5 linked regions of the Danio rerio genome follow. The protein of the gene in region 3 interacts with the protein of the main gene of each other region in a pairwise test. Links are inferred from orthologs where the notes say so. Each region holds a gene or a part of one and is shown on either strand. Other genes may lie near its edges. The genes, in order: ccnb1ip1, trip6, prkaa2, l3mbtl3 and kifc3.

Region 1 (4,510 bases), on a different chromosome or scaffold from region 3:
GAAAGTATGGTTTTTATATTTATATGAAAATAATGTTTTATAATATTTAATTCTTTATATTTATATCCCATAGTATATATCCTTATTATATCCTATATATATCTTTAAAATTGAATTTTTTTTTCATATATAAAGATATTTGTGTATGGCTCTACATCTTGTGTGTATTAAGTAGTGTGTAAGCGAGGTGCACAACTAACGCGCTCTGCGTTGGACAATAGACCGGCTTTGTACTGGTCTATCACTGTTGCGATTTTCCTCGGTGCTAGGCTCTGCCCGAAAAGTCGCTAAATGTCGCTACATTACATCATACGTTAATTTGCATATTACTGATGTCATCTCGCTCTACCATTTCTGTTTGTTTAACAGCCTATGGTCAATAAGGAGTATTTATATTAGCACTACGCTTTATGTAAGCATGTCAATTTAACTAAGTTTATTGCTGTTTGAACACAATATATCAGTATAGATGTGTAATGAATTTGCAGTAATCTCTCTGGTGTAATAAGCTCAGACAAGTTCCAAAACTGTCACTTAAAATATCTGTGATTGTGAACAAGAAAAGAATAAACAGTCAAATTAAATTGTTAAAATAAACCAGAAGCAGATCGGAGCAAAATCATTTGCTGTCGGTACACAGAGGGGTGAGGTTGCAGGTGGAAGAGGCTGCTGTATGAGGACTGATTGGACCGCCTGTCAGTGGTCTGAGGCGGGGGAGGGGCCGGCGGCATCACCCTCAGCTCGTTGAGAAGAGTAGGGACGGTACAGTATGGACAAATGACAGTCTATAAAAATCTCCAGTAACACACAAAAAAGTCGCTAGATTTGTCGCTAGTCACTTTTTAAAAAAATTTGTTGCTAGGGGGGTCTGAAAAGTCGCTAAATCTAGCGACAAAGTCTCTAAGTTGGCAACAATGTGGTCTATAGAACAGACTATTATAGTTTCTCAAAATAGCAACGCGCCTCAACACGTCTCCTTTTTTAGATCAGAACGCCTATGGACGCACATATGAGCGCAAATGCATTTGCTATTTAAACAGCTTGGCGCAAAACGTCAAAACAACTCTTGTATCAATCTGAAACGAACAAACAACAACTGCGTCGCGCCTTGCGCCACATTGCGCCGGGTGTATGATAGGGCCCTAAGATTTGTAGATTTGTAGTCATGCGTGTGCGTGTTTGTGTGTGTGCAAGAGATATATAATGTTCGATTCATCTTCCATTTGTGCTCTACATCCTAGAAATTAGAAATGTAAAACATTTCAGATTTAACAGGGTTTACAACTTTGTTTGGACAAATGAATCTAAAAGTTTTTTTCACTTTTCCCATTCATTTCTAATGTGACTTCAGTCTGACTGAGATGAGCTTGATGATGATTTGTTTTCACATCTTTAAAACAACCAAATGAAGTCCTTTTTTTGTTTTTAAATTATTTAGGAAAAGTCACAGAATGTCAAGCCCCTGAGATAAAGGGGACATAAAAAAAATATTTGACCCTGTGGGCCAATTAAGGGTTAATTGAAACTTTAATTTTCAGACGCATTTATATTATTATTAACAATTAAAATGGTCTTTATGCAAAATATGATGCAGATGCATTTTACATTTCATCTTGAACAAATATTATCACAATTGTGGGTCTGTAGCGTTTGAGCTTGAAACCCCCTGCCTGCTATATTGTAAACATAATGCAACTACACTCCGTCCAACTCCATTATCAAGAAAAGTAAAGACACATATTTTGGTGTGTTTTACTTACTTGACCAGTTAACGTGATTTCTTCTTTCTTTCTTTACATAAACATATTATTTTTTACCAAACCGTCTAAAGAGTTTGTCAAGAGTAAATAAAGTTATTTAAACGGCGCTTTTGAGATTCATCAAAGAGCTCTTTGGATTCATGTCAGCAGCCAATCAGACGAGGCCACCTGATTAAAGCCCGCGAAACGCTCTACCTGAGACTCCCTGACTGACTGTAATGAACACAATCGCAAAATCACGGTAAAATATCACCACATTAGCAAGTTACATAAGTGTAAAGAGCGATATACATTTTTAACCGCTAAAACAATTTAATATCAGCTTTAGTATTTGAACAGGAAGCAAGAAATAGCTTGGAAATGCGTCTTTGCTAACTGTTTTTCGCCGTTTTCACCACCAGCTCTAACCGTATGTAACTACCCTGCTGTTAATACATGTTCTATTTCCTTCCTCAAGAACCAGCATGTCTGCATCTAAATTCACCTTGCTGTGTAATTCGCACAAATGCCGGGTGAAGCTGAGCGGTGTGGCCTGGGTCACGGCCTGCTCCCATGTTTTCTGTGACCAGCACGGCTCAGAGGAGTTCAGCCGCACCCCCGCCGTCTGTCCCGCCTGCTCCTCCATGCTCTCCGGCAAATTAGACGTCCTGCGAACCGAGCTGACCCCATCCGAGCAATACAAAGCTATGGTTCTGGTCGGACTACAACCTGAAACCGTTTTGGAAATCAGTCATAAAGCAATAGACTTTTGGATCTACCAGGTTTGATGATTGTGTGGTGTCATGTGACCGTGGACCACAAAACCATATTGCTTACAGTTTTATATAGTTGTATATCATATATTACACGGCTCCATTTTTCTTTTATGCTAAAAATCATTATAATATCAAGTAAACATCATGTTCCATGAACACATTTTGTCTTACTGTAAATATATCAAAACTCATTTTTGCTGTATGGATTGCTAGTAACTTTGGACAACTGTAACAAGCTTGGACAACTTTTAGGTTGTTCAAAATATTATTCTCATTATTTAGAATTTTTTTGTATCCTCAGATATTCAAATAGTTTTATATCCACCAAGCAGTGTCATATCCTAACAAAGATATATGATATATACAGTTGAATTATTAGCCTTCCTGAATTATTAGCCCCCTGTATATTATTTCTGTTTAAAAAAGAATTTGTAATATTCAAAAATGCTTAAAATGACTTTAATGGTGACCTGAAAATTTTTCTTTTTTAAATTAAAAAAATGCTATTATTATTATCCTTGCCAAAAAAACCAAAAACAAATCAGACTTTCTCCACAAGAATAAATGTTATAGGAAAGATTGTGAACAATTCCTTGCTCTGTTAAACATCATTTGTAAAACATTTAAAATATATATGTATATTTTTAACTTCAACTATATATTCTAAAAATATATCAAACTGTCTTAAAGTTTGTCCCGAGTAAAAACTAGATACTAGGCTTGGGCGATATCCAAATTTTAAAACCGTCAAACCGCCTCCATATTTTACCCCGGTATCCGGTATTACCGGCGTAATAAAAAAAAAAAAATGACGTAAGGCTCAGACAGCGTCACCAAACTGTAGGCTTGAGCCTAAACCATTCAGAAACTGCATAACTTCTATGCGACCTTAGGCTCGCGGTCAGAGAGAGAGAGAGAGAGAGAGAGAGAGAGAGAGAGAGAGAGAGAGAGAGAGAGAGAGAGAGAGAGAGAGAGAAGCGACGCAACGCACAGCATCTCTCTCTCTCTCTCTTACACACACACACACACACACACACACATCTCTCCCGCGATTTATTCAGAAATTTGCTCCCACACCGTAAGAAATCTGGCCGGCTCCCGCGGAACAGCAGCGGGAAAGCAGAGAGCTGTCATCGGGCCATAAAAATTATACCCGATAGGTCCCGAGTCCGACAGGTACATTTTGATTGACAGCTTTATCAAGCCCAAACCTGTTTACAGCCCGACATTATTCAAATGTGCTCATGCACACAGCTCTAATGCATTTTTTCAAGAATGAGTCATTTATATGTTTTAACATTATTTATTCGTAACAAGCGCAGACTATAGGCCACTTGAAAGTTGGAACAAATAAATAAAATAAGTCCTCTGTAACATCGTAACATCTCAGCACTCTATAGGTCTAGGTACATGCACTAAGCCTTTAAATTGGCCAACACACCAATGAAAAGAAATCTTGCTTAACAAATCAAATTAAAATAAACTCTAAATGATGACGGGTATTTTGGCAATAACGAAATTAAGATAAAGGCGGTGCAAGATGTTTCTCCACTTCTCTTCACAATCTGGCATTAGGGCGGCGGTGAAGCTGAATATTAAAATAATAATGCCACCATTAGTCTGTATACTCTTTCTTCATTATGATTATATGGTTTAATTAATATTTATTTATATTTTAAAAACCCTTTACGCACCAAGATTAGGCTACGTGTGTTTGTGGAGAAACATTATTAAATCCACTGGTTTTAGCGCAGTCTTGCGCTCATGTGCGTCCAGCAGCTGAACACCCTTTCCTGCGGCTACAGGTCGAGATGCAGAGTTCTTATCCGGCTGATTTTGCAAGTTTTGGGTAGGATTGTTTGGTTATCTTCTACCAGTTAGGAACATCCATTTAATTTTCCATGACAGCGGTTAAGTGTAGCGAGCGGAGTGGCCTCGTCATTTTACCTGCTTGCGGTTTAGGGCTCTACCGTAATACGCAGTGTATGAGCGACC
Region 2 (3,837 bases), on a different chromosome or scaffold from region 3:
ATTTTGCAGATGAAAACGAGCCGAGACGAGGCAGATGTTCTGTAGGCTTGGAGTCTGCAGCGTTTTCAAAAGGTAACGTTACGGGAAATTGTTAATGTCCTATTGTTTAAATAACCCACAGAACACACCGGACGTCAGTAACCATAGATGAGCAGAAATCCGCGAGCGTCACGTTCATGTGTCGCGCGCTTCTGTCAAGCACTGCAACGAATCACAACCTAAAGCAGACTGCAATTCATTTATTTTAAGATTTAAAAAATGGAGTCATACGGGAGATACATCGGCCTAACAAGCCACGGCTTTGAGTTCGAGCTTTCACTGGTTGTAGTGCAATGCAAGACGGTCATATTGGATGTTTATGTGGTTAAGAAACTTGTTTAGATGTTGTTCAGTGTAATTATTATAGATCAATGTAGACGTGAGAGCTGAATCAATGTTAAGATAGCATTGATGGTTAACTGCTCATTACCTGGCTATTTGCTTGTGTAAAACCATCTTCTAACATCAACAAACATACAGCACGCTACAAGTTATACTAAGGTGGTCAAACTGTTTTTGGGGGCAATTTAACTGGTCAACCAACATTACCAAGCTGTTTTCCTAAATACAGTAGTCAACATTCGAAGCGAATCAAAAATGTTTTTCAAAATTGTCCTAGGACAAGAATGGCTGTTGTTCAATAGTTTTAGGAAATCTTTGATGAAAGGTTATGATCCTCTTCAAATGTTGACTACTGTAGTTCAGCCCAATTGAAGATTTACTCTTCTTCAAGTGGTTCCAACCCTTTATGAGTTTCATTTTTCTGTTGAACACAAAAGAAAAAACTTGAAGGCATGCATGTTAGAAACCTGTAGCCATTTACTTTCATAATAGGAAGGTTACACATTTTCAGTATTTTTCAAAACAGCTTATTTTGTGTTTAACAAAAAAGTACATATAAGGGGTGCGAATTACAGGGGCTTTAGGGAGATATGACCCCCCTAATTACCACTTTATCCCCCCTGAAGGATGTCAGAACAAGATGTATGGGGGGGTCAGTTGTTTAATACTGAGAAATATTTCACTCTGATCTGTATTTTAAATAATATTAATTATTAAAATAATAGATAATATAAATAAAACATTTGACCACCGCTATAACGGTAAAAAAATTGTTAATGCATATTTGCGCCAATCAGTCAATGCGAGAACAAAGTCTGAAAGAGGCAGATCTAGAGCTCCAATAGACATCATGTTCACAAGACTTGTTCTCGTAAAATGGGTGTTTACATATTTAGCCTGAAAAATATGTAGTTTGTAGTTTAACCTACAGTAACATCTGAAATCGCAAATTAGAGAATACTGCAGGTCAGAATACACTAAATGTCCCTCAAAATGCTGAAAACCTAAATCTTTTAGTTTTTATTAATAAACTAGATGAAATTAAAAAAAGAAATGCATAAATAAGTGAAGCATGTATACACAAACTAACTGAAACAGCTGACCCTCCTGATTGTCAATATATAGTCCAAGAGTTCACAGTATATATATATATATATATATATATATATATATATATATATTATATATATATATATATATATATATATATATATATATATATATATAATATCGCAATATATATCGCAGGGGAAAAAATATCGCAATGTCAATTTTTTCCAATATCGTGCAGCCCTAGTTCACACTTAGCTGATGATTAATTATAAAGCTAGTTTGGCATGCTGTCCTGGGGGAGAGCCATGAGCTCAAAAGATCGTCAAGTCCGGGGCTCCCTCCTGTTTGCAAGGCGAGAGGGGAGTTTGAGCTCAGGTTGATCTCGAGAACTCCCCTGCTGTAGAAGCTAATGAACAGATAGTGATTGCTCTTAAGAGATAACTACTTACTAGGAGCATGTCTATAATGCTGATTTGGATTAGTCAATTAACTTAAGTTGTGTTTTTGGACGGTGGGACGAACTCTGGGAACCTGGGGGTAAACCCACGTGAGCATGGAGAGAACATGTAAACTCCGCACTGAAACGTCGACTGGCTTGGTAAGGACTACAACCAAAGATGTTCTTGCTGTGAGGCAACAGTGCTAACCACTGGGCCACCGTGTCAGCCATCTAGGAAAGGAGGAGGAGTAGGGGTGGAAGGGGGGATCCTCAAAAACAAAGGTGGCTGTGATATGGAACTTAGGGTATTTTATAGTGGCTTAGGAATTATCTGATTGGTGAATCATAAATTGGATAATGAGGGACCAGCCGCAAGCAATCATAAGCATGCGATCCTCTCGAAATTAGTTTATAAAAAAACTCCACTTCGCATACTGTATATGTATCTATACTGTATTTACTCCGTCTCAAACAGGTTTGTGACAAGTGAAGGGTGAGTAAAAGATGACAGAATTTTCAGTTTTTGGTGAACTGTCCCTTTATTCTGGCTTTTCAAGTACAATTTCAAAAGACTTCTTCGTTATGTAATGCTTTACAAAATACTGTTGTTGGTGATTTGGTTGTGCTAGACTACTTTCGACCATTAACAAACAAACCATATTGAGGTGAAGTTGGTTTTATATTAACACAATTGTCCAGTGACAACTTGTGACATGCTCCCTATATAGTTTACCATGCCACTTTGAATATTCGGCCTGAAACACATGTAAGTATGATTTGAAAATAACATTAGCACTATTTATTTGACTGTAAACAATGTTTTACTTTGAGATCATTTGTGTTAATATAATTTCCCTATTTAGAATTTGCAAAAGATGTTTTTGTGAAATTAAATTATTCAGAGGAAAGTGCAAATGTGTGAAAATAAAACCAACTTTACCTCAATACGAACCAGCTACTAGTTAGTTCTACTAATGTGGCTAAACTCTATATTTGGGCATGTTAACTGCTCAACCAGCAGATTACTAGACAGCCATCTTAAGCTAGATTCTCAGAGGACTTGTTTGTTTTCTAATACTTTTGTAAAATACTATTGTGTTTACAGCATCTTATATTGTTGTGAGGTTTGTTTTCATAAGCTTATAATAACAAGCACTCGTCAGCACTTGGATACACAAGCACATTGTCTGGCGAACACCTGATGGCACAAATGAAAAGTTGTATATTACACAACACTTCCTATCTTATTTTCATGGACAGGCTCTGTAGATAAAGTATTGTGGATTAAGTGTTGTGGACAATGCCTATTGTACCTATGGGAGACTCGAGAGCGGAACGAATACATTGCAAATGTTGTGCACCTGTGGGAATTGTATGTTTGTTTTGTATGTGTGTGAGAGAGAGAGAAATGCTGTTTGACTGAGGAACCCTGGAATTCCCCTTTCGGCTGAGAATGGTTCCCTTTTCCTGCTTTTTAACTTGGTGCCTATTGTTATCATGGAAACCATGCGTTGCCACTGGAGACAAAGCATAAAGCATCAGTCTGTTTTGTGTAGTTACAGTTATGCATTTTATACAAGCTTGGGCAGCACTTCTATAGAGCCTGAACTCTTAGGGATTGTTGTGTTATACATTACATCTAATCATATTTAAAATACTCAAATAAGTGACTTTAAACCTACAAAGTTTCACAATGGTGCCATGGTTTATATTGTGTGTTGTTCTTGTAGAAGTCTGATATGTCTGGTCCCACCTGGCTGCCTCCAAGGACCCTGGGTAGCCCAGACAGAGACACAGCACCAATGTCACACTCTGGCCCCGCTCTCTACAGACCTCCAAAGAAAGGCCTGCCCGAGCAGAGGCCCAAATATAACATGTATGACCAGAATGGTGGAACGGGAGGAAATGGCATGCCCATTAGATATATGGCTACTGGACCTTCAGGTAAGAACTGCTAAACTTGT
Region 3 (4,426 bases):
TTACTATTTACCCCACCTGTGGGGCAAGTTGTAACAGACAGAGTGTTAGTTGTAACGCATGCTTAAAAAGGCAGATTAAACACAATTAATTTAAATTTAGTTTACTTTTAATAGTAGCAATATTTTCTCAGTACCTCAATTATTATTTTTATTCTACATAGCACAGAATGTTTATTTATTTATTGGATAAAAACATTTGGATTTATTTGGATTATTTTCCATTATAATACAATTAATTTATTTGTAGTATTAGCAATAAAATATTTTTTTTGTCTATCAAAATAAAACAAAAAAAATTCTATTAAAAATAATTGTATTTAAAAAGTTCTCAACATTACACTTAAAATTAAAAAAAAAATGTGTGAGTTCAATTGGTGTCTAACAGTGTGTGGCTTAATTGTAACACTCTGTTACAACTAACCCCGCTGTGTCGTGTTTTATATATATATATATATATATATATATATATATATATATATATATATATATATATATATATATATATATATATATATATATATATATATATAGAGATTGTCTACATTTTACCCCGCTATCCCTTAGATATTTTTCAAAACAGTTCTATACAGCTTAAAGTGACATTTAAAGGCTTAACTAGGTTAATAAGGCAGGTTAGGGTAATTAAGCAAGTTAATGTATAACACTGGTTTTAAAATTAAAAACTGCTTTAATTCTAGCCTATTTATATATATATATATATATATATATATATATATATATATATATATATATATATATATATATATATATATATATATATATAATCAGACATACTGTAAAAAATGTCCTTGTTCTGTTGAACATAGTAAACATAATTTTTTATATAAAATTTTGAAAAAAATAATTCAAAGGTGGGCTAATAATTCTGACTTCAACTCTCTATATAGCTATTAGAGATGACAATTTTGTGAACTGTTCCTTAGTACGCTATCACTGTAAAAAAAATGTTGGGTTCCACAAAATCGATTTGTGTTGGGACAACATGAATAAATTAAGTTAACGTAATTTCTTTTTTACAAATTTAGATGCTTTTGCATTCATTTTAATTTGATGCATCCCAAAGGCGCAGAATAGGCTTAAAATATAAAATTACCACAAATTATTAATAAACACAATAGCAGTAGCCTAATAATGTTACAAAATCACTATAACATCAAATTTAAATATTCCTATATTCAAAATTAATTCATGTAGAGTCATTTGTAGTTATGTCACGCTGGGGGGATACTTGTTTACCTAAACGCCCAGGCGTCCTCTTCCCCAACAGCGATCACATTATCAGCTGATCCGAGATCTGCCTTTTGGTACACAACTCTTACAGTTTCTCCAGCAGCTGAACTCAGATCAGCCCTTAAAAAGGGCTTTAGCCGAGCTCAGTCCACCTCATGCGCGCAATCCCGCCTCCTGTAACGGCAGCCCGAGGACCTCACATAGTAAAATGGCTGAAAAGCAGAAACACGAAGGCAGGGTAAAGATAGGACACTACATCCTCGGAGACACGCTCGGAGTCGGAACATTTGGAAAAGTGAAGAGTTAAGTCTGTTCATTTATTAGACGTGCCCTGATGTTGCGTGCAATAGAAGTGCGAACGTATGTTTTCGGGTCTGTTAGTGCTGAACTTGCCGGCGGACTGTGCGTAATTTACGTAGCATAAACTGCGTAGCGAGAGGCTGTGCTAACGGCTTTCAGACGCAGAGATTGCGTATGTTTGTTCGTGAATATTGCGCAGAACTAGAATTCTTTCAGCACCACGGTAGACAGTGCACTTGCAATCTTGTTTGTTTATATGCTTGGTATCACAACATTTGAGTAACTATATGTCATTTCGGGAATGTTTTGAGGTAATATAACTACGCGTTCTCAGCGTTTGCTATTTTCCTCATTTTAATGCACTGTCATCCTCCCTGCTGCGCTCTTTAACTGTCATATGCGTAATTTCCAACACTCAAATGACAGTCTATAAAACGCGTGTCTCAAAGGAATATATGTATAATTATCGTGAAAGCAGCTCTGAAATAAATGGAGTAGTTCGTGTCTTTACCTGCAGAACTGCTTTGACCTTGCAGTCATTTTCTATTCTAAGCGCTAGTGGGAATGCCGTTCATATTGGGAATGACCTTTCGCACGGGTATACGTTAACCCTGTTTTTAAGCTTTGCTAAGCATCATTGCAGTAAAAAAATATATTAATCGACTCCAATCAATAACGATATACATTTTTTCTTTGTTTGTGCACACATTACGTTTCCTGTATGTGCATTAATTTAAAAAAGGGATATGTTCTAATACTAAAATGCCTAGACTGCATTCTTGGCAGCATTTTTGGACACGGCTCATAGACCAGCATTCCCATTCATCTCAATGGCCCTTTCTTGGTTGCAACTTGCAAGAGACAAGATTCAGGAATTATATTCTAATTCGGCAAAAAATGGTGTTAGAAAGTGCAGTAAAGCAAACCTTTTATTAAGATTAATTATTATTTTTTTACCATAGGGATTTAAAAAATCTTTAAGCCAAGATCCAAACTAACCGACTACTTGGCAAAGCATTACAAAACTGTTTAAGCAAAGTAGGCTGTACGAAAATCAAACACAATGTAATGGTAAAATACTGCAAACTTTATGTAAATGTATTTTGATAATATTTGGGAGATCTGTTCATGTATGCCATCAGGGATGGGCAGTATTTATGATACAAGTATTTCAAACACATATTATAAATACAAAATAGTATTTATGAAATGGGCTAATAAATTGTATTACAATAAGGGTTTTATGTTTTTGTAATTTTAAATAATGTAAAATTCTTTGTACAAAGTGTAGATCAGTGGTTCCCAACTTTTTTTTGCATAAGACCTCCTTTTTTCCCCAGAAAATATTGTGAAAATATTGTGAATATTGTAAGTTTGCAGTCAGGATGACATAAAAATGTTGTTTTCAAACAAACGGTATGTTTAATATTATGTCTAGATATGTTTATGCACAAATAGTAGCCTAATGTAAACAAAGGCCATTTGTAACTGAAAAACGTAAGCCTTAAAATTTTCCATATATATTCGTTTCCAATTTTATAAAAGTTTCTTGTCTGTAGCTGTCCTGACCCTCCTTTCATATTGGGTGTGTGTCAATTATTTTGCCTTGAGTTAAAAAAATGCTCTGAGCATGTTGCGGTATTGATGAGTCGAATGCAAATGTTTTATTATATTAGACAGCCTCATGCATTTGTTAGCAAGAACTTTGGCACAGATAATACACTGTGGCTGGGTCAGGGACTCTTTGCTTTGAGAAAATGAGATAAAACCATAATTCAGGTAACCATCTTAGTATTTTCTGCATTTCGTGTTTTCAGTATTGCTAGCGCTGCGACTCGAAATGTTTGGAGCTTCCTCACCAGGGTCCAATATATGCTTAGGTCATTACTATTAGCTGCTAAAGGCGAATCAGTGAGACTGTGGAGGACGAATTACAAATTTGTCAATTTTTTTGGTCAGCCAGGGAATAAAATGAACTAAGGCAACATGATTGTAATGATTCTCCTGATTGTCCTCTGCTAAAAAATGTTAAAAATATGACTTGACCCCCCTCAGAGCTCGCTGAGGCCCCCTTGTGAGCTGGGACCCCCCTATTGGGAAGCGCTGGTCTAGATGAAATCTTAAAAATGTGGTTTCATATTGACGCTTTCTCAGTTATTTGCCTAAGCTTGGGATCAGAACAGAAAATGTATTTAAAAAGTGGTCAATGCTTGTAGTATGGATGGAAGTTATGCATCTTTGTCACACACAGGGCTTGACATCAACTTTTTCGTTCACCAGCCACTGTGGCTAGTAGATTTCCAACTTTACTAGCCACTTGCCATTTTCACTAACTTTTCTTGTTGGGAAAATATATTTTATATGCATAAATCTGACTTTATTATGCTAAAATGACTTTATTTAGATGTTGTGTTATGTCCACATGCCTTCGTATTCATTTAACTTCTTGTATGTATTATGTAATAGCTTGCTCTGTGTGCATGAGCAAATAGTTTGTCGCAATGCAATCAGTTTTTATTTCACAGGACTTTTCAGGGCTCAAAATTAAGGATTTACCAAATTTATCTCTGACCACACCAAATAAGCATTTCTTAGCCACAATGTTTTAATGTGTCAAAACAAGGAAAATAAAGCTGTATAGGTACACCTTTTAATTCAACAAAACTTTTCTTTAAAAAAAACAAACAAAAAAATTGTGGATGCTCGATCATCGCTGTTTGTCCAGTCTATTTCAAACGGAACCGATCGCACCAGTTGCACTTCCTGTAGTCCCCTAGGCAGGGTTGTGCGCAAGTAAACGGGAGCTTGCACGCTTTTTAACAGTTGCACGCATCACATCACCTGCGCGTGCGAGTGATCATCCTCTCGTTCAGTA
Region 4 (3,837 bases), about 6.0 Mb from region 3:
ACATGTTAATGCGCGCAGCTGTCAATCAATTCGGTGGGCGGGGGGATCGCACACCTACGTAATGGTGCGATCGATTTGAAAACAGCTCCAATTGGCCGACCCTTTTTTTGTAGTTAAATTGAAAAAAAAGGACTGGGTGTGTTCATATCACCCCAGTATGACGGTCTATACACTATACCAACACACAGATCTGTCCAAACAGCTTGAAAAGTAGATTTTTTACCATAGGTGCCCTTTAAGCAATAATGTTAAAACAATTTGTGCTGTAAAGGAAGGTGAGCGGGACAAGAGTTTTCCCTTGATGTTCTCGTTTTTTCCCCATTCAAATGCGTCTTGTGAACATGTTGTTTTTTTACAAAGTTAGTCTCATTAAAACAAAACCTCAGAAAATAAATCCCTCAACATCTGGCAACATGCCACATTCAATTACAGCAACTCAGAGGTGGAGTTTGAACCTTCCCATTAAGTACCTAGTTTTTTTTTAACGTATTGTGGTAATTTGCACGTTGTGTCAAAACGCTATGTGTCTAGATAATAGCTGTATACTCTCAGTTTGACTCGTGTACGATAATTTTCCTCCAAATACGATAATTTTGAGGGTCTGATACGATACTTTGACATTTCCAATCTGGCAACCCTGAATCCAGCTAACTTGGTGGACGTCATTGTAAAGCAGATGTTTTCAATGCTGTCCTTTTTCACAGCTTTATTACAGATTAGACAAGTAAAAAGATTTGTTTTGTTTTCAGAAATAATGAGCTAATTATACGATATATAATGAGCTTATCCTTCAACTAATCTGAAATAAGATCACAAGTGATTGTACACTTTTATGTCGAAAGAAAAAACACAGAAAATACTGTAGAGTCAAGTGTGTGTTTCTGATCTGCTGGCTTTCAGGTTTCACATCAGATATGTGTGTGTGTGTGTGTGTGTGTGTGTGTGTGTGTGTGTGTGTGTGTGTGTGTGTGTGTGTGTGTGTGTGTGTGTAACAGGAAGAGAAAGAAAGCAGGCGACCAGCCAGAGGAGCGACACGAGGACGCAAGAAACGCAGAGGAGACGCAGCACTGCTCCGATACAGTGAAACACACGCACACACATGCATAGACACATGCACACACATACATGCGTACACAAACAGACACACAGAATCACACACACACACACACACGTAATTGCACACAAACCGACACACACACAGAAACTCAGTCACACACATAAGTAAATAGACACAAACATACACACAGAAACACTCACACATGCCTACATTGACACACATACACACACACAAACATCCCCCACACAAATGCTTACTTATGTACACAGACACAAATACACAAACAGAAGCACACACATACTTAAACATGCATACGGACACACAGACTATCACACACCTATGTGCACACACACACACACGCACATGCACATGTAAATGCACACAAACCCATACACACAGATGCATACGTACACATTCACAGAGAAAAGACGCGCACACACATACAAACACACACACACACACACACACACACACACACACACACACACACAGAAACTCAGTCACACACATATGTAAATAGACACAAACATAAACACAGAAACACTCACACATGCATGCATAGACACACATACACACACATACACCTAAACATGCATTCAGACACACAGACAATCACACACATATGTGCATACGCACACACACACACACACACACAAACAGATGCTTCTAGGTGAGTCTGACTCTGATATTTCCCATGATGCAGCGGTGCCGTATGGAGGCAAGAAGAAGGCCTGGTGCTGGGCCTCGTACCTGGAGCAGGAGAGAGCCATCGCTGCACCCAGCAAACTCTTCAAAGAGGTCAGCACACACACACACACACACGCGCGCACTAGAGCTGCACGATTAATCAGAAAAAACTGCGATCTCGATTCCACCCATATAAACGATCTTAATCCAGCATTTCTACAATTCTGCCAATCATATGTTTAAGTTCAGGAGAGAAGAAAAGGCGGCCGCACAAGTCTTCACAATGTTTTATATACTTTGTTTAGCAATATGGACTCCTCCAAATGTTAATAAAAGAGTCACATACTGTTTATCAGGTATAAATCACTCGAAAATGCCATTTCTTTCTTCGTGGAATGACGTATTCACGGCCGTGAAATCACACTAGATGTGAGCTGACTGTGAGCTGGTACCATAGAGAGAGCGGGCGCATGTGAATGAAGTCTACTTTAGTGAACAGAACTAGAGATGCGCGGATGGCGGTTATTCCGCGGATAAACCGCGGATCGGGCGGATGACGTGACGAAAAATAATATTTTAATTAAATTCGGGCGGGTGGCGGGCGGTTGTACTGTTTTTGTACACATAGCTGGCGCACCAACGAAAAAGCCTAGGACTGACTTCACAGAATGAGAGGAGGAATCGGATACACTAATTCTGGATGAAGTACAGAAGTCTTCCTCTACAAAATTAAGAATAGACGGATCAGCAGAGGAAAATCTACTTTCTTTTTGGGAGAAACAAGGCAGTCATTCCCACGTCTACAGCACCTTGCCAAGAGAATTCTATGCATTCCAGCAACAAGTGCCGCGAGCGAGCGCTCCTTCAGTGCAGCAGGGCGCATTAGAGGCCAGGCGTTCTCGTCTGAATGTTGAAATGATGTGTCAAAATGCGTTTTCTATTAGGTTACTATAATAAAAAAAAATTGTACAGTACAGTGCGTTTCATTTATTTATTTTTGTCCCTGTGCACCGATTGGAGACGGAGTTCACTGCTGATATTCTGAGAGCTTTATAGGGTGCTTCTCATTTCTTATTTGTGTATCCTCGTTTCCTTTCCTTGCTTTCTTTCCTCGTCTTTCCACCCCTATAGGATGCGAGGGAAGGACGCAAAAAAAAACCTCAAGGACCAAGGAATCGAATCAAGTGAAACGACACGTCCTCGTATTGTTTAGCGTCACTTCAAAGCGTCAATTAATGCTGGATTTGACTTGCACGTTTGGATTAACTGCATGTCATTAAAGTCATTCTCTATTTTCTAATAATCAATAAAGAAACATTCATTTAATAATAAAAAGGAATAAGCCATTCAAATAAAGAGCTCAGTCAGCAGATGGCGGGCGGGTGCGGTTTTAAAAATAGGTAAAAAATGTTAGTGCGGATGGATGGCGGACGGATAATGAGTTTTATGATGCGGTTGCGGATGAAATAGTAGCCCATCCGCGCATCTCTAAACAGAACCTTCATAGGCTGTGAATATCAGGTAATACAGTCGCGAATAACATTCAGTTTGTTGCACAGAGCGATCGTTTGGGAGCCGCGCGTGAAGTATGAACCACATCATTTAAAAATTTCATATCGCATTATAGAGTTATGATTACGACAAGCATTTAATATTAAAGCTTTTTCTGTCATAGCGAACACAGAGTGTTGTACATGAGAATAAATGTTTTACAGTGTCAGTGTAACTACTCTAGCCTATATATTGTTCAATTTAATGAAAGAGGGAATCTGATAATGACAAATGTCATCTTAGCAGTAGAAAAATTGAATTGTCGGCAATTCAAATCATGCTGTGTGAATTTGGCGAGTCTTCATTTCTTGTCGGCTTAGTCCCTTTATTAATCCGGGGTCGCCACAGTGGAATGAACCACCAACTTATCCAGCAAGTTTTTATGCAGTGGATGCCCTTCCAGCCGCAACCCATCTCTGGGAAACATCCATTCACACACACACTCATACACTACAGACAATTTAGCCCACTCAATTCACCTGTACCACATGTCTTTGGACTGTGGGGGAAACCGGAGCACCCGGAGGAAACCCACACGAACG
Region 5 (4,391 bases), on a different chromosome or scaffold from region 3:
CTACATATAGCCCCAACTAAGAGCGTACAAAACTAATGTGCACACAAAGAAGTGGTGTAATAAATCACAAGCACTATGTTAAAATTCTAGCAAATCCAGATTTTTGCTAATTCGTCAAGTCAAAGCATAAAGATTGAGGAAAAGGGATAGCAGTAAACAGAGCGTATGCGAATTAAATTATGATTAAAGGGGACAGAGAGCTCTCTGATTAACCCACTGCTTGCGTAACCACTCAGGATTTGATCTGCTAAAACGATCCATCAGACTGCAGAGAACATTAGAAATGGGACATTGGGAGGATAAACATGATTCCAGGTAAATGAAAATCCCTGTGTGTATTATGCAGAAAGAACATTTACAAAATGTTCCCATAGTGAATTACTCCCACCAGAAGCAGCTGATCACAGAAATTCTGGATAAGGATGAAAAGTCGAGAAAAACGCACTTGATTGATTAAAATAGCTCCAGTAGACTTGATGAAATTCACACACTCAGAAAAGGAATATGTTCAACTTAAAGCCGTCTAAGGTTTCTTCAAATCAATAATACAACGCACATAAATAATGAGAAGAAATCAATGAATAAATAATTGCATTTTGGATTAAATGGAGGTTTTCCAGTAGCAGAGAGACTCATCAGTTACACTCTTCCAGCTTGAGGACTGATCGGTCAAAAACAACACTTAATTCCCTGCAGAATCTACAGTAACATACTGGCAGCAATTTACCAGTAACTTACTGTAAATCAAGTACAGCAAATAGACTGTATTTACATTTACAGCACCATTTATCTTGTATTTACAGATATGTATGTATAATAGTTTTGGGTCAATAGGCAATGCCATCGTCGATCGACAAAGGCCGAGAAACATCCTCTGCCCCGCCCCCGTCGCTAGAATTACACACTCAGGCCCCATTTAGACCAATACATCTTAGTATTAAAATGGCATTTTAGAACGAAAACGATCCACATCCACTGGCGTTTTATCTAGCACTTCTGAAAACATACTGCTGAACACACATGGCATGTGCTGCAGCATTTGCGCACGTCTGAGCTCTAGGCAGTCAGTGGGTGCTTTGAGCACAAAATCCCAGAGAGCAGTGCACTTTGGACAATTTATTAAAGATGTACCGCTGGATTGCATCTTATAGATGTTAAACTTGATATTTAATTAATCTTGTCTCTATCTAACGACTCCTCTGTCTTTTGAATCTATCAGGTAACACAGCGTCAGTACACTGCTTCAGTCTTTCGCTTTCACGCTTGTACTTTTAGTAAATTGTAATTCTAGCTTAAACCTCAGATACTGTTGGATGGTTCCTGTTGGTTGTGCACCTTTTTTTTTACCAACCAAGTTTTTCGACGCCATTATAATGACACAGATCACTCTGCCTATTCATGCCAGAATCCCGCAAAAAAAAATATTGACCGGTTGGTCATTTATGTGTAATTTATCTTTATTCATTTATGATTTGGTTATGTATAAAACAAAGACTATGCAGGTCAGGTAGTCGCAACGGGTGGCTACAAATTATTAATTTGTTATGAATAAATAAATGATTCACTGATGCCATCGTCCATCACGATGTTTCACATTAGACATCGTACGATGCCAAATCGGTCAACATCGCCCAACCCTAATGTAAATCTTTACTGTAGAATATACACTAATTTTCACAATGCAGCATTAAAATACAGTAACATACTGCATGAGTGTCCTACAGTAAAATACAGTTCACATTACAGCTAAATACTGTGTAATTTACAAAAATCGTTAACAGTGAACATTAAACTGGATGGCTGCAATGCAAACAGCCTTCAACTAACAACTTTCTTTACTTTAACCTCCATGTTCACGCTCACCTGTGCTATCTTCCTCCTCTCCAGCACATTATCCTGATGAACAGATCTTCTTTTACTCGCTCTGCTGCTGAATCCGTCAAGGCATCTATCAACGTCACTCTGCCCATGCACTCTTGAAGTCTCTAGTGGTCCAGAACTTCCAGGAATGTGGTGTTTGTTTCTCTTCTTGCGTCCGTGTTTGCCTACATCTGGTTTGTGCTTCTCTGGGCTTTCGATAGCTTTGGGTTCAACGGGATCCAGGACTCGGGGTCTCCTAAACAGGTTGTGAAGAGACAGCAGCACCAAGGTGCACAGAACATACATGCTGGCTTGACTACTGGAGACGTCTCCACACACACATTTAGACGGAGTATCCTTTAAAAGCGATTCTGGATGATCCCATTTCAGGGTGAGCGCAAGCACTGAACACTATCTTCTGGTTAAAGTTACAGTCGTAATATAAACTCTTCCGAATTGCGCAGCAATGAGCTTTATCGGTCGACGTGAAGGTGATCAGCCAGTTTAGAATCAAGTATTGTTGAGTTCTTGCATGTCTTCCCACCACTGTTTTCACTCAAACAACAACTCCTGGAAGGTAAGACCGTGTTATTCCAACACCTTCGAGCTCCAGAACTCTCACTTAGGCTTGATAATCTGTCTGTGATCTGATCAGCAAATGAGATGGCTTTCTCATCTCCCAATCTCGTTCAAGAGAGAATGAGGGAGGGACGACTACCGCACATCTGCTTTTAAACCCCACAAAGCCATTTTAACCTACCTGGACACGTCTATAAAGATATCGCCTGATAAACAATGTAAGCCAACAGCATGATAAATGCTTCTTTAATCAGGATACATAATATTTAGGTGCTTATCTTCCCCATCTGCACGCCTCTTCTTTGGAGATCTTCCAGAAGATTACAGGTGTATTCCAGTGAAATTCGATCGAAAGAGTAACCATGAAACTCTCAGTCGTAATCTCCATTGGCACTTTGACAAATCATCACCTCCACTTGCGTCAGTAATGGTTTTATTGTATTTTTACAGTCACTGGATTGCAGGACAAAACTCACAGGTCAGACCACTCCTTTCATAATGCCTTGTTTTGATAGTCTTTATCCCCGTTTTTAGGTCCAAATGACTGGGCAAACTCCAACCATTCATAACCCATCCAACTCCTGCGATGCTGGTGTAGTCCTATAACTCCGAGAGAGAAAATGCTTTTCACTCTTTCGCCCTCCCTTTTCTCATTGTGTCCATCTGTCACTGCAGTCGGACAGCTAAGCGTCTCTTAGCCGATGATGTAACAACAGTGTTTGCATCTATGCAAAATAAGGAAAATCAACTCAAAACATGTTTTAAATGCACTGCTGAGGATAAAGAAGCTGGTCTGTGATTGGTCGCCTCCGTGGTAAGATGACCCTGTTGAACTGCGTCCTACAAAGCCATCCATCATGCTCCTGCTGTGTGACAATGGATAGAACATAATATGGAAACAGACAACTATGGGAATGTGGCGCAGTGAGACCTGACAGTGCCAATCTAGAGTGATCAATTAGGATTCGGGGACATAGAAGATCGGCGCTGTCTTGTGCTGGTACTTCAGGGGGGAAAAATTGAATCATGTTTGAAGTGTGTGCGCAAGACAAACAAAAGGCCATCTTCTGGTTCATTACCCTTTTTAGGGGCCGTTCACATGCTTCAGACCAAGGGAAAACAACAAGAGTGCCTGTTCGAACCAAATTAACCAGTATAGAAGTAAGTGCTCAAACTAAAGTGGCAGGGCTGGGCAAATCTACAAACAGAAAACTACAAACAAACAACAATTTTTTTTATATACAGTTGAAATCAGAATTATTAGCCCCCCTGAATTATTAACCTCCCTGTTTTATTATTATTATTATTGATTATTATTATTTTTTATTTGTTTATTTTATTTTTTAAACATAATAGGTTTAAGAACTCATTTTTAATAACTGATTTATTTTATCCTTGTCATGAAGACAGTAAATAATATTTGACTAGATATTTTTAAAGACACTTCTAAACAGCTTAGTGACATTTAAAGGCTTAACTAGGTTAATTACAGTAGGTTAACTACGCAGGTTAGAGTAATTAGGAAAGTTATTGTATAACGATGGTTTGTTCTGTAGACTATCGGAAAAAATAGCTTAAAGGGGCTAATAATTTTGTCCTTAAATTGGTAGTTAAAAAATTAATAACTGCTTTTATTCTAGCCGAAAATAAGACTCTCAAAAAGACAAAATATTATCAGACATACTGTGAAAATGTCTTTGCTTTGTTAAACATCATTTTGGAAATATTTAAAAAAGAAAAAAAACATCAACAAGGGCTAATAATTCTGACTTCAACTGTATATAAGACAATACCAAAATGATGATACAAGTTGAATATTCTCTTCTTCAAAGGGGGCCTCTTACACTCATTTAAACAAGATGTAAAATAAGTCCCTATAGTGTTTGTGTGTGTGTGTGTGTGTGTGTGTGTGTGTGTGTGTGTGTGTGTGTGTGTGTGTGTTTGTGAAGTAT

Evidence for each region.
Region 1: the proteins of prkaa2 (region 3) and ccnb1ip1 interact in binary tests that used the Homo sapiens proteins (3 or more experiments, as listed by UniProt). The two-hybrid records come from large-scale screens. The link is inferred for Danio rerio from reciprocal best matches to the Homo sapiens genes PRKAA2 and CCNB1IP1.
Region 2: the proteins of prkaa2 (region 3) and trip6 interact in binary tests that used the Homo sapiens proteins (3 or more experiments, as listed by UniProt). The link is inferred for Danio rerio from reciprocal best matches to the Homo sapiens genes PRKAA2 and TRIP6.
Region 4: the proteins of prkaa2 (region 3) and l3mbtl3 interact in binary tests that used the Homo sapiens proteins (3 or more experiments, as listed by UniProt). The two-hybrid records come from large-scale screens. The link is inferred for Danio rerio from reciprocal best matches to the Homo sapiens genes PRKAA2 and L3MBTL3.
Region 5: the proteins of prkaa2 (region 3) and kifc3 interact in binary tests that used the Homo sapiens proteins (3 or more experiments, as listed by UniProt). The two-hybrid records come from large-scale screens. The link is inferred for Danio rerio from reciprocal best matches to the Homo sapiens genes PRKAA2 and KIFC3.

The regions. Positions count from the first base shown.
Region 1 is NC_133182.1:19,534,416-19,538,925, reverse strand, and holds the start of ccnb1ip1 (E3 ubiquitin-protein ligase CCNB1IP1), read left to right. Parts: upstream 1-1,569; 5' UTR 1,570-1,978; coding exon 1,979-2,001; intron 2,002-2,217; coding exon 2,218-2,521; intron 2,522-4,510. UniProt on the Homo sapiens protein: Ubiquitin E3 ligase that acts as a limiting factor for crossing-over during meiosis: required during zygonema to limit the colocalization of RNF212 with MutS-gamma-associated recombination sites and thereby establish early differentiation of crossover and non-crossover sites.
Region 2 is NC_133182.1:19,978,365-19,982,201, reverse strand, and holds part of trip6 (thyroid receptor-interacting protein 6), read left to right. Parts: exon of another isoform or gene 1-72; intron 73-3,603; 5' UTR 3,604-3,612; coding exon 3,613-3,817; intron 3,818-3,837. UniProt on the Homo sapiens protein: Relays signals from the cell surface to the nucleus to weaken adherens junction and promote actin cytoskeleton reorganization and cell invasiveness. Involved in lysophosphatidic acid-induced cell adhesion and migration.
Region 3 is NC_133195.1:8,217,865-8,222,290, forward strand, and holds the start of prkaa2 (5'-AMP-activated protein kinase catalytic subunit alpha-2), read left to right. Parts: upstream 1-1,449; 5' UTR 1,450-1,459; coding exon 1,460-1,553; intron 1,554-4,426. UniProt on the Homo sapiens protein: Catalytic subunit of AMP-activated protein kinase (AMPK), an energy sensor protein kinase that plays a key role in regulating cellular energy metabolism.
Region 4 is NC_133195.1:2,225,310-2,229,146, forward strand, and holds part of l3mbtl3 (lethal(3)malignant brain tumor-like protein 3), read left to right. Parts: intron 1-995; coding exon 996-1,080; intron 1,081-1,760; coding exon 1,761-1,855; intron 1,856-3,837. UniProt on the Homo sapiens protein: Is a negative regulator of Notch target genes expression, required for RBPJ-mediated transcriptional repression. It recruits KDM1A to Notch-responsive elements and promotes KDM1A-mediated H3K4me demethylation.
Region 5 is NC_133193.1:48,507,804-48,512,194, reverse strand, and holds the start of kifc3 (kinesin-like protein KIFC3), read right to left. Parts: upstream 3,042-4,391; 5' UTR 2,167-3,041; coding exon 1,864-2,166; intron 1-1,863. UniProt on the Homo sapiens protein: Minus-end microtubule-dependent motor protein. Involved in apically targeted transport. Required for zonula adherens maintenance.